Linked DNA regions of Macaca fascicularis. The protein of the gene in region 2 interacts with the protein of the main gene of each other region in a pairwise test. Links are inferred from orthologs where the notes say so. Each region holds a gene or a part of one and is shown on either strand. Other genes may lie near its edges.

Region 1 (3,653 bases), on a different chromosome or scaffold from region 2:
TTTTAGAAAATATGGTATAATGCCATATTAATGTACACTGTTTGCATTTTGTTTTCATGTATATCTTGGGAGATCATCCCATATCAGCATATGTAACACTCCCTCATTCTTTTTATGGCGTCATGTTTACTCTTTCTTGAACTGAAATTTTAGACACCCTGAATATTCTTCTAGGTTGAGGTGTCTCTTCTGGATGTTCTTTTAAAATTAATAAAGTACTCAACTGATAGGCTACGTGCAAATAATGATCTCAGAATCTTTTTTTCATGTACAGAAAATGTTACTGTTATAAGTAAATAAGCTTTTACATTCTAAAATGATAATGAAAATTATTTTTATCTTTATAGTTTGAATCAGCTTGGGTACTGACAAATATTGCTTCAGGAAATTCTCTTCAGACCCGGATTGTGATTCAGGCAGGAGCTGTGCCTATCTTCATAGAGTTGCTCAGCTCAGAGTTTGAAGATGTCCAGGAACAGGTAAAAATGAAACAAAAGGAAGCAGCTGAAAGAAATTTTTCGGCTGGGCACGTCGCTCATGCCTGTAATCCCAACATTTTGGGAGGCCGAGGTGGGTGGATCACAAGGAGTTCGAGACCAGCCTAGTCAACATGGTGAAATCCTGTCTCTACTAAAAATACAAAAATTAGCTGGGCGTGGTGGTGTGTGTCTGTAATCCCAGCTACTTGGGAGGCTGAGGCAGGAGAATTACTTGAACCCAAGAGGCGGAGGTTGCAGTGAGCCGAGATCGCGTCATTGCACTGCAGTTTGGGCAACGAGAGCAAGACTCCGTCTCAAAAAAAAAAAAAAAAAAAAAAAAAAGAAACAGTATTTCCCTTCAGTCATAATAAGGGGCTGAGTTTTGCCAGTTGGCTTTGGTAATCTATGGATTGTCACAAAGGAGTGTTCTAGAAATTTAGTCTTAATCAAATAGAAAATGTCTTAGTGACTGTAGGCGGAATTTCTCTTAGACACAAAATAATCTTCCCCTTCCAAACCTGACATTCTTTAAGCCATGTATATGTACTTTTTTAGACCATGTAAGCAGTTACTGATAGAGGTTTTTTCTTGTAGAAATTTCAAGTGTTGAAAGTAGACCAGTTGCTGTGGCTCATGCCTGTAATTCCAGCACTTGGGAGGCTGAGGTGGGCAGATTGCTTGAGCCCAGGAGCTCGAGACCAGCCAGGGCACCATGGTGAAACCCCATCTCTACAGAAAATAAAGTAGGTGGCCATGGTGGCACACGCCTGTTGTCCTAGCTGTTTGATAGGCTGAGGTGGGAGGGTTCACTTGAGCTCCAGGAGGTGGAGGCTGCAGTGAGCCGAGATCACACCACCATACTCCAGCCTCGGTAACAGAGCGAGACCTATCTCAAAAAAAAGAAAGTGGCTAGTCTTTGCTACTTTTGTGCAGAAGGGTACAGAAAACAAACTTCTTTTTGTTCACTGTTTTCTTATGTAAGCAAGAAAATTCTCTTTTTCTTGCTTTCTTGCTTTACTTTGCTTTTCTTTCTTTCTCTCTTTCTCTCTCTCTCTTTCTTTCTTTCTGTCTGTCTTTCTGTCTGTCTGTCTTTCTGTCTTACAATCTCTGTCACCCAGGCTGGAGTGCATTGGCTCAATCTTGGCTCACTGCAACTCTGTCTCTCAGGTTCAAGCAATTCTCATGCCTCAGCCTCTCGAGTAGCTGGGATTACAGGCGCCTACCACCACACCTGACTAATTTTGTATTTTTAGTAGAGATGGGGTTTCACTGTGTTGCACTCCAGACGGGGTGACAGAGTGAGACTCTGCCTCAAAAAACAAAAACAAACAAAAAAGAATTAGTTCTTTCCTTTAATAAACTGAAAACCTCTGTTTATTGTATACTCTTGGATACTACTTATCTTCCCCCCCCAATCCTACAACTATTTCATTTGACTCGCCAATGAACGTGTTATTGTGGTATACTGGCATCTGAAAGAATTATGAGGGAATTAAACTATGTAGCCTTTATTAATGAATGATTCTTTCACAGGCAGTCTGGGCTCTTGGCAACATTGCTGGAGATAGTACCATGTGCAGGGACTATGTCTTAGACTGCAATATCCTTCCCCCTCTTTTGCAGTAAGTTTCTTCTTCCTTCTTCCTTTTTGAGAATAAAAATGTAAGAGATTCCTCAGAAAGCATTACATCTTTGGAAATCATTTTGGATTTTCTAGTGTTATTTTTTATTCCAGATATTTTCTTGTATAGATCATTTCCTCCAGCACCCTATCTTTTTCCGTGCCAAAATTCTGAATTACTTGCATCAGAATTAATGAAGTTTTAATGTTTTGGAGAAAAGCTGTCTGAAGACATCTCTTTATCAAAAGTATTATTTAGTATTTATGTCATCAGATAATCACTGTCTGTTATATAGTTTACCATTGTACCATCGTGCTTGTAGGTTATTTTCAAAGCAAAACCGCCTGACCATGACCCGGAATGCAGTATGGGCTTTGTCTAATCTCTGTAGAGGGAAAAGTCCACCTCCAGAATTTGCAAAGGTAAGGACTATGCTTTTGGGACATTGGCAGAAAAATACAATTAAAAGAATATAGCAACCAATAGTAAGGTGAACAGAAAGATAATTTTTGTTAAAATTTAAAATGTTAGAATTTTATCTGTTTTCAGACAAACAGTGTTGTTTTTGTTGGTTTTCTTTATTATTTAAAAAGCAAATTTAAAGCATAACTTGAAGGTGCACATTTACGAAGGGACTGCAAATAAAGCATAGCATGAAGGAAGAATTTGTAAAGCTTATTGAAATTAGGCTGCATACAATTAGTATACTGTATTAAGAGACTATCCTTTCAGTTCTCTTAAAACAATGGTTCTCAAAATGTGATCTGTGAGTTCTCTGGGAGTCCATGAGATTCTTTTTTTTTTTTCAACAGGTTTTTGGGGAACAGGTGGTGTTTAGGTACATGAGTTACTTGTTGAGTGGTGATTTCTGATATTTTGGTGCACCCATCACCCAGGCAGTATATACTGTATCCAGTGTGTAGTCTTTCATTTCTCACCCACCTCCAGTCCTTTCTCCCTGAGTCCCCAAAGTCCATTGTATCATTCTTACGCTTTTGTGTCCTCATAGCTTAGCTCCCACTTAATGAATGAGAACATCTGATGTTTGGTTTTCCAGTCCTGAGTTACTTTACTTAGAATAATGGTCTCCAGTTCCATCCAGGTTGCTGCAAATGCCATTGTTTCGTTCCTTTTTATGGCTGAGTAGTAGTCTATGGTATATATATCACATTTTCTTTATCTACTTGTTGATTGATGGGCATTTGGGCTGGTTCTGTGCATTTGCAATTGTGAATTGTGCTGCTCTAAACCTGTGTGTACAAGTATCTTTTTCGTATAATGGGTAGATACCCAGGAATAGGATTGGGCATCAAATGGTAGATATACTTTTAGTTCTTTAAGGAATCTCCACACTGTTTTCCATAGTGGTTTTACTGGTTTACACTTCCAGCAACAGTGTAAAAGTGTTCCCTTTTCACCACATTCATGCCAACGTCTATTTTTCTTGTTTGTTTGTTTTTTGGTTTTTTGAGACAGTTTTGCTCTTATTGCCCAGGCTTATAGTGCACTCGTATGGTCTTGGCACACTGCAACCTCCACCTCCTGGGTTCAA
Region 2 (3,442 bases):
AGAGATGGAGTTTCACTATGTCGGCCAGGATGGTCTCGATCTCCTGACCTCATGATCTTCCCGCCTCGGCCTCCCAAAGTGCAGTGATTACAGGCATGAGCCACTGCGCCCAGCACGAGGTGGCTAATTTTATTCTGAGTAGTTCCATGGTAGCAGCAGGCAGTTTGAATTGGCGTCAGAATTTGCTGAGCCCCACCCCTGGAGAATCAATACACTGGGTAATATTCTGACATTCAATTAGCTTTGGAAAATTTTTATTAGATCGAAGTACATGCTGATTTACATATGGCCAGGCATGGTGGCTCACGCCTGTAATCCCAGCACTTTAGGAGGCCTAGGCGGGCAGATGACATGAGGTTAGGAGTTTGAGACCAGCCTGGCCAATATGGTGAAACCCTGTCTCTACTAAAAATACAAAAATTAGCTGGGCATGGTGGTGGGCACCTGTAATTCCAGCTACTCAGGAGACTGAGGCAGGAGACTCGCTTGATCCTGGGAGGTGGAGATTGCAGTGAGCCAAGATCGCACCACTGCACTCCAGCCTGGGTGACAAGAGCGAAATTCCGTCTCAAAAAAAAAATTTTTTTTACATGTTATTGCTAATTAGGAAATTTTTCATTTCAGTCATCAAGATCTTTAAGGGCAGAGGCCAGGTGAGACTCTGCCTCAGAAATAAAAAAAGGAAGGGCACAAGGTGGGCTGCAGTGTGATAAGTAGTATTTCACAAACAGTATTTTTCTGTGGCTTGTCTTACAGGTACACCAGGGGTTGGAAAAACTACACTAGGCAAAGAACTTGCGTCAAAATCGGGACTGAAATACATTAATGTTGGTGATTTAGCTCGAGAAGGTAAGGGACACTTTGGTGTTAGATTTGTTTTGTTTTGTTTTGTTTTAAGTCTGATAGTGGAGTGTTAGTGCTGGGTATTGTCAGAAGGTACAAAAAACAGATTGCCATTAAAGAATATATACTCTTGCCTGTAATCCCAGCACTTTGGGAGGCCGAGACGGGCGGATCACGAGGTCAGGAGATCGAGACCATCCTGGCTAACACAATGAAACCCCGTCTCTACTAAAAATACAAAAAAATTAGCCGGGCGAGGTGGCGGGCGCCTGTAGTCCCAGCTACTCGGGAGGCTGAGGCAGGAGAATGGCATAAACCCGGGAGGCGGAGCTTGCAGTGAGCCGAGATGGCGCCACTGCACTCCAGCCTGGGCGACAGAGCGAGACTCCGTCTCAAAAAAAAAAAAAAAAAAAAAAGAATATATACTCTTTTAGGGAATCCACAGAAATATTAAGTGTCTAATGCTATGTCCTGGTTATTTTGAGCATTTTCCCTTCCTCCTTGAAAATGGCTAGCAATTCTTGTGAATAGTTGGGAAGGCTCCTATGAAGAGACTGGATTTCGGAGAGGTAGAATGTGAATAAGGAGAATGTTTTCAAGTTGAGCAAACAAAGGTTTGGTACTGCTGAACATATATATGAGCACAGTGAGTGTATTGGTCTCACTGGAAAGAGATTGTTTTGAGCTCAGGTGTAGGACATGACTATGCTGTGGTATCTTAGTGTGAGGTTTGCATGCAACTGCATATATTCTAAGATGATAGATGTTTTTATTTATTTTACCCTGTTTTCCCCTAATCTTTTATCACTCCCTTATTTGTGTCTTCATCTTTTTATAGTTGACAATGATTTGTACATGGTAGGAACTCAATAAATTAAAGAGATTTTAAGTATGCCTCATTAAAATTAAGAAAACATATGGTTTAAATTTAAAAAATTTTTTTACAGTTTAACATAGATTAAAAAAATTTTTAAGTTCCTGACAGTTGCTACTAAAGTAACTATTTCAGATTGATCTAATGTACATATTTTTTTCAAATGATCTAAAGTCTGATCATCGGATATCATGGAGTCTGGCAAGATGGCTTCTCCCAAGAGCATGCCGAAAGATGCACAGATGATGGCACAAATCCTGAAGGATATGGGGATTACAGAATATGAGCCAAGAGTTATAAATCAGATGTTGGAGTTTGCCTTCCGATATGTGACCACAATTCTAGATGATGCAAAAATTTATTCAAGCCATGCTAAGAAAGCTACCGTTGATGCAGATGATGTGCGATTGGCAATCCAGTGCCGCGCTGACCAGTCTTTTACCTCTCCTCCCCCAAGAGATTTTTTATTAGATATCGCAAGGCAAAGAAATCAAACCCCTTTGCCACTGATCAAGCCATATTCAGGTCCTAGGTTGCCACCTGATAGATACTGCTTAACAGCTCCAAACTATAGGCTGAAATCTTTACAGAAAAAGGCATCAACTTCTGCGGGAAGAATAACAGTCCCGCGGTTAAGTGTTGGTTCAGTTACTAGCAGACCAAGTACTCCCACACTAGGCACACCAACCCCACAGACCATGTCTGTTTCAACTAAAGTAGGGACTCCCATGTCCCTCACAGGTCAAAGGTTTACAGTACAGATGCCTACTTCGCAGTCTCCAGCTGTAAAAGCTTCAATTCCTGCAACCTCAGCAGTTCAGAATGTTCTGATTAATCCATCATTAATTGGGTCCAAAAACATTCTTATTACCACTAATATGGTGTCATCACAAAATGCTGCCAATGAATCATCAAATGCATTGAAAAGAAAACGTGAAGATGATGATGATGACGATGATGATGACGATGACTATGATAATTTGTAATCTAGCTTTGCTGCATGTAACATGTATACTTGGTCTTGAATTCATTGTACTGATATTAAACATGCATGCTGGATGTTTTCAAGTTGTGTTTTAGAAAACTTTAATAATAATTAATGAGTAAATACAGTTACCATACTTTTCAATTGAAATGAAGGTTTTTCATCAGCCTTAAAAGTGTAAGAGAAATAAAGTTGTCATTCATTACTTTGATTGTTGGTGCTTTGGCAGTTATGTTTTTAAAAGCAATTTTCTCCCTGTTGTCACCAAGGGGAGTAACAGTTGACAGTTGCAGCAACTTGCAGTACTGTAGTCTATTGTTGACCACTAGAATGTCACCTCAAGTGTCTTCAGATATATAGATCACAGTATGATCTCTGGTGTACGTCACTCTTGTGATCTGTTCTCTCAGTTGCTGAAGTATAACCGTGACTCCTCTTTGGAGAGACTAGTTGGTCAGGATTTTTATTCATAGTGAATTCTTAACCTGCTTTGATTATCTTCCTCAATTGTCCAACTTCCTAGGTCCCATTTTTCTGTCCCTTTGGTTATATTAAGGACCCTTAGTGTCTCCCAGTATGTCTCCACTTTTAAAAAAAAAATTTATCAGTGTCTCTTTTTGCAGGTTAATTTTGAGCATCTTTGTTTTTCATATTCCTGATACTATAAGCCAGTATCATGTTCATTTTTGATCCAGGGCTGATGATTAGGTTATAGTTTATATTTTTTTAATTTTTAAAAT
Region 3 (3,653 bases), on a different chromosome or scaffold from region 2:
CCCAAAGTTTTGGGATTTCAGGCATGAACCACCGTGCCTGGCCAACAGGCATTTTTGAGTACTTACTATTTGCTTAACATCGAGGACACTCTCAAGACTTCCATCATTATCAGACTGCACATTCTAGGATTAACTGTTGTCAGTTGATAGAGGAATGAAGTTGCTTTCCTATAGTGGCATTTTGGATGAAGTAGGGTTATTCAGAGAAACGTAACCAGTAAGAAACACACACACACACACACACACAAATACTCACTCACTCACAGACATGGGATTTATTGTAAGGAATTGGCTTATAGGATTGTGGAGGCTGAGAAGTCCTAAGTTTAGTTGGTAAGCTATAGATCAAGGAGAGCCAGTGGTATATTTCTAGTTCAAGTTCGAGTTTGAAGGCAGGAGAAGACCGATGTCCCAGCTTGAAGAGTCAGGCAGAGAAGCGAATTCTCCCTTACTCCGTCTTTTTGTTCTATTCAGGCCTTCAGCAGGTTGGATGAGCCCCACCCACATTGGAGACAGCAATGTACTTTACTCAGTCTAGCAATTTAAATGTTAATCTCATCCAGAAACAACCTTGCACATACTCCCAGCATAATTTTTTTTTTCCCACTGAGGCAATATATTTGTAAATATGTATTACATCCTTATAAAAAGAATCTCAGGATTTTTCCTCCTGTGTGTTTTTGTCTTGCTTCTTCATGGTATGTGATGCCAGCCAAGGTTGTCAGTACAGTGAAACCAAACTGGTGGGATGGGAGCAGATTATTCTGCCATTTTTCTAGATCTTTGAGTTGCACATCAAATCTGGGGCTGATTACTCCATACTTGTTTAGCCTGCCTATGAGGTTCACAACAATTTTCCCAGCTCTGTGATCACCAGTGATTTCAGACTTGCCAGTGTAACCATGCTTCATCATTATAGTTGGAAACTGGATGATGGGGCTAGGCGCGATGGCTCATGCCTGTAATCTCAGCACTTTGGGAGGCCAAGGCAGGTGGATCACTTGGGCACTTGAGGCCAGGAGTTCAAGATCAGCCCGGCCAACATGGCAAAACTCCATCTGTACTAAAAATACAAAAATTAGCAAGACATAGTGGTGAGCACCTGTAATCCCAGCTATTTGGGAGGCTGAGGCATGAGAATCTCTTGAACCTGGGAGGGAGAGGTTGTAGTGAACTGAGAAATGCACCAGTGCACTTTGCCCTGGGTGACAGAGTTGGGCCTCTGTCTCAAAAAAAAAAAAAAAAAAAAAAAAAAAAAAAAAAATTAAAAAAACTAAAATAAAAAAAAGAAACTGGACAATTACTTTGGAGCTCGGGCTAATAAGAACCTGGCATTTACCTTGCTTTTCAGTTTTGTTGATGCTCTTAAGAGCATCAGCCAGGACATTCATGTGCACCACTGTGGTGGTGTGGAAAGAGCCAGTGTCGTTTTAACCAGATATCTGGACACCCAATAGCCCAGACAAATTGATACATAAAATTAAGCTTCACGGAGTGTCATGGAATTGTACAGATGGCTGTCAATACCCCAGAGAACATAAATTGTTTAGTATTCACCTAAATTAAAACAAGAGTAAAATATTGTTAAAGAAAGCAGCCCACATTCTGAAACAAAATGGATAATCAGCATTATCACCTTTTAGGGTAGGTGACATGCATATCTTAGAAAGATTGTGAGTTTGAAGTTAGACAAACTGAAGTTTGAATTGCCTTTCTGCTACTTATCAGCTCTAGATTTGGGGCAAGTAACTTGTCTGAGCTGTAATTTTGCGATCTGTAAAATTAAAAATACCTACTTCGTGTTGATGTTTAGATTAGAGAAAAACGTATAAAAAATGTTTGGGATGCAGTAGCTATTCAATAAAACTAGTCATTTGAAAGTTGACTGTGAGTAATGCTGTATGGGCCATTTTGCCAGAAAGAGTCTTTTGTCTTTAATTGATATGACATTTTTTCATTGACTGATGGTAATTACATTTTGTAGAGTCATCTCAGTATATAACTATGTCCTGGAGATGTGTTTACAAATTGCTCACTCTAGTTTTCTCTCTTGTTCTGTTGACAGAGTTAAATTAGAAGAGAGAGGAGTTGCTGAGAATTCTGTAGTCATCAGTAATGGTGACAGTAATTTATCTCTTAGAAAAGCAAAGAAGCGGGCATTTCAGTTAGAGGAGGATGAAGAAACTGAACCAGATTACAAATATTCAAAGAAGCACTGGAAGAGGCAAGAGAACAATAACAATAATGAGAAGGTCTTGGATCTGGAACCAAAAGCTGTCACAGATCAGACTGTCAGCAAAAAAAACAAGAGAAAAAATAAAGCAACCTGTGTCACAGTGGGTGATGATAATGAAGAGACCAAAAGAAAATCACCAAAGAAAAAGGAGAAATGTGAATATAAAAAAAAGACCAAGAATCCCAAGTCTCCTAAAGTACAGGCAGTAAAAGACTGGGCCAATCAGAGATGTAGTTCTCCAAAAGGTTCTGCTAGAAACAGCCTTGTTAAAGCCAAAAGGAAAGGTAGTGTAAGCGTTTGCTCAAAAGAGAGTCCTAGTTCCTCCTCAGAGGAGTCTTGTGATGAATCTATCAGTGATGAGCCCAGCAAAGTCACTTTGGAAGCCAGAAATTCCTCGGAGAAATTACCAACTGAGTTATCAAAGGAAGAACCCTCTACCAAAAATACAACTGCAGACAAACTGGCTACAAAACCTGGCTTTAGCCTTACCCCCAGCAAGGGCAAGACCTCTGGAACAACATCTTCTAGTTCAGACTCTAGTTCAGAGTCAGATGACCAATGCTTGATGTCATCGAGCACCCCGGAGTGTGCTGCGGGTTTCTTAAAGACAGTAGGCCTTTTTGCAGGAAGAGGTTGTCCAGGCCCGGGGCCATCATCACAGAGTGCAGGTGCTGCTGGATGGAGGCGTTCTGGCTCAAACGGTGGCGGACAGGCTCCTGGTCCTTCTCCCAGTGTGTCTCTCCCCGCTAGTTTAGGAAGAGGATGGGGTAGAGGAGAGAACCTTTTTTCTTGGAAGGGAGCCAGGGGACGGGGCATGCGGGGGAGAGGTCGAGGACGAGGGCATCCTGTTTCCTGTGTTGTAAATAGAAGCACTGACAACCAGAGGCAACAGCAATTAAATGACGTGGTAACAAATTCATCTACTATTATCCAGGTAAGTATTATTTTTTGTAAGTTACCTCCTCCTTTTCCCCTTAGAATGTGTGTGGAGTTCATGTCATGGGTTCACATTTTCTCACCAGTAATGATGTCACATGACTAACACTGTTTTTCAGAATCCAGTAGAGACACAGAAGAAGGACTATAGTCTGTTACCACTGTTAGCAGCTGCCCCTCAGGTTGGAGAAAAGATTGCATTTAAGGTATATTTCAAAACAACGGTCACAGCAAAAAAGGTTCATTCCCCTTCCAAATAAACTTACTTAACAAATCAGGTTTAAAGTGTTTGTAAAAGCCCTTCCCACTGGAACCGCAGTGTTGTCATGGGTTCCTGGTAGGGCTCCCAGACTGGTGGGGGGGACACCCCAGCATGGCATGATGGAGGAGCTGTGGGAATGTGAGAGGATAAGAGGGCTTATGTATTTGTGGGTTTTTTTCTTCTTTTTTAGCTTTTGGAACTAACATCCAGTTACTCTCC

What was found. The genes of interacting proteins can lie anywhere in the genome.
Region 1: the proteins of TAF9 (region 2) and KPNA1 interact in binary tests that used the Homo sapiens proteins (3 or more experiments, as listed by UniProt). The link is inferred for Macaca fascicularis from reciprocal best matches to the Homo sapiens genes TAF9 and KPNA1.
Region 3: the proteins of TAF9 (region 2) and COIL interact in a two-hybrid assay, tested with the Homo sapiens proteins (2 studies listed by BioGRID and IntAct). The link is inferred for Macaca fascicularis from reciprocal best matches to the Homo sapiens genes TAF9 and COIL.

The regions. Positions count from the first base shown.
Region 1 is NC_088376.1:160,795,198-160,798,850, forward strand, and holds part of KPNA1 (importin subunit alpha-5), read left to right. Parts: intron 1-347; coding exon 348-479; intron 480-2,012; coding exon 2,013-2,101; intron 2,102-2,423; coding exon 2,424-2,523; intron 2,524-3,653. UniProt on the Homo sapiens protein: Functions in nuclear protein import as an adapter protein for nuclear receptor KPNB1. Binds specifically and directly to substrates containing either a simple or bipartite NLS motif.
Region 2 is NC_088380.1:75,038,191-75,041,632, reverse strand, and holds the end of TAF9 (transcription initiation factor TFIID subunit 9), read left to right. Parts: intron 1-756; coding exon of another isoform or gene 757-849; intron 850-1,891; 5' UTR 1,892-1,908; coding exon 1,909-2,703; 3' UTR 2,704-2,913; downstream 2,914-3,442. Other genes in the region: AK6 (adenylate kinase isoenzyme 6), read left to right, coding at 757-849. UniProt on the Homo sapiens protein: The TFIID basal transcription factor complex plays a major role in the initiation of RNA polymerase II (Pol II)-dependent transcription.
Region 3 is NC_088390.1:49,770,186-49,773,838, forward strand, and holds part of COIL (coilin), read left to right. Parts: intron 1-641; coding exon of another isoform or gene 642-914; intron 915-2,065; coding exon 2,066-3,170; intron 3,171-3,291; coding exon 3,292-3,378; intron 3,379-3,624; coding exon 3,625-3,653. Other genes in the region: small ribosomal subunit protein uS8-like, read right to left, coding at 642-914. UniProt on the Homo sapiens protein: Component of nuclear coiled bodies, also known as Cajal bodies or CBs, which are involved in the modification and assembly of nucleoplasmic snRNPs.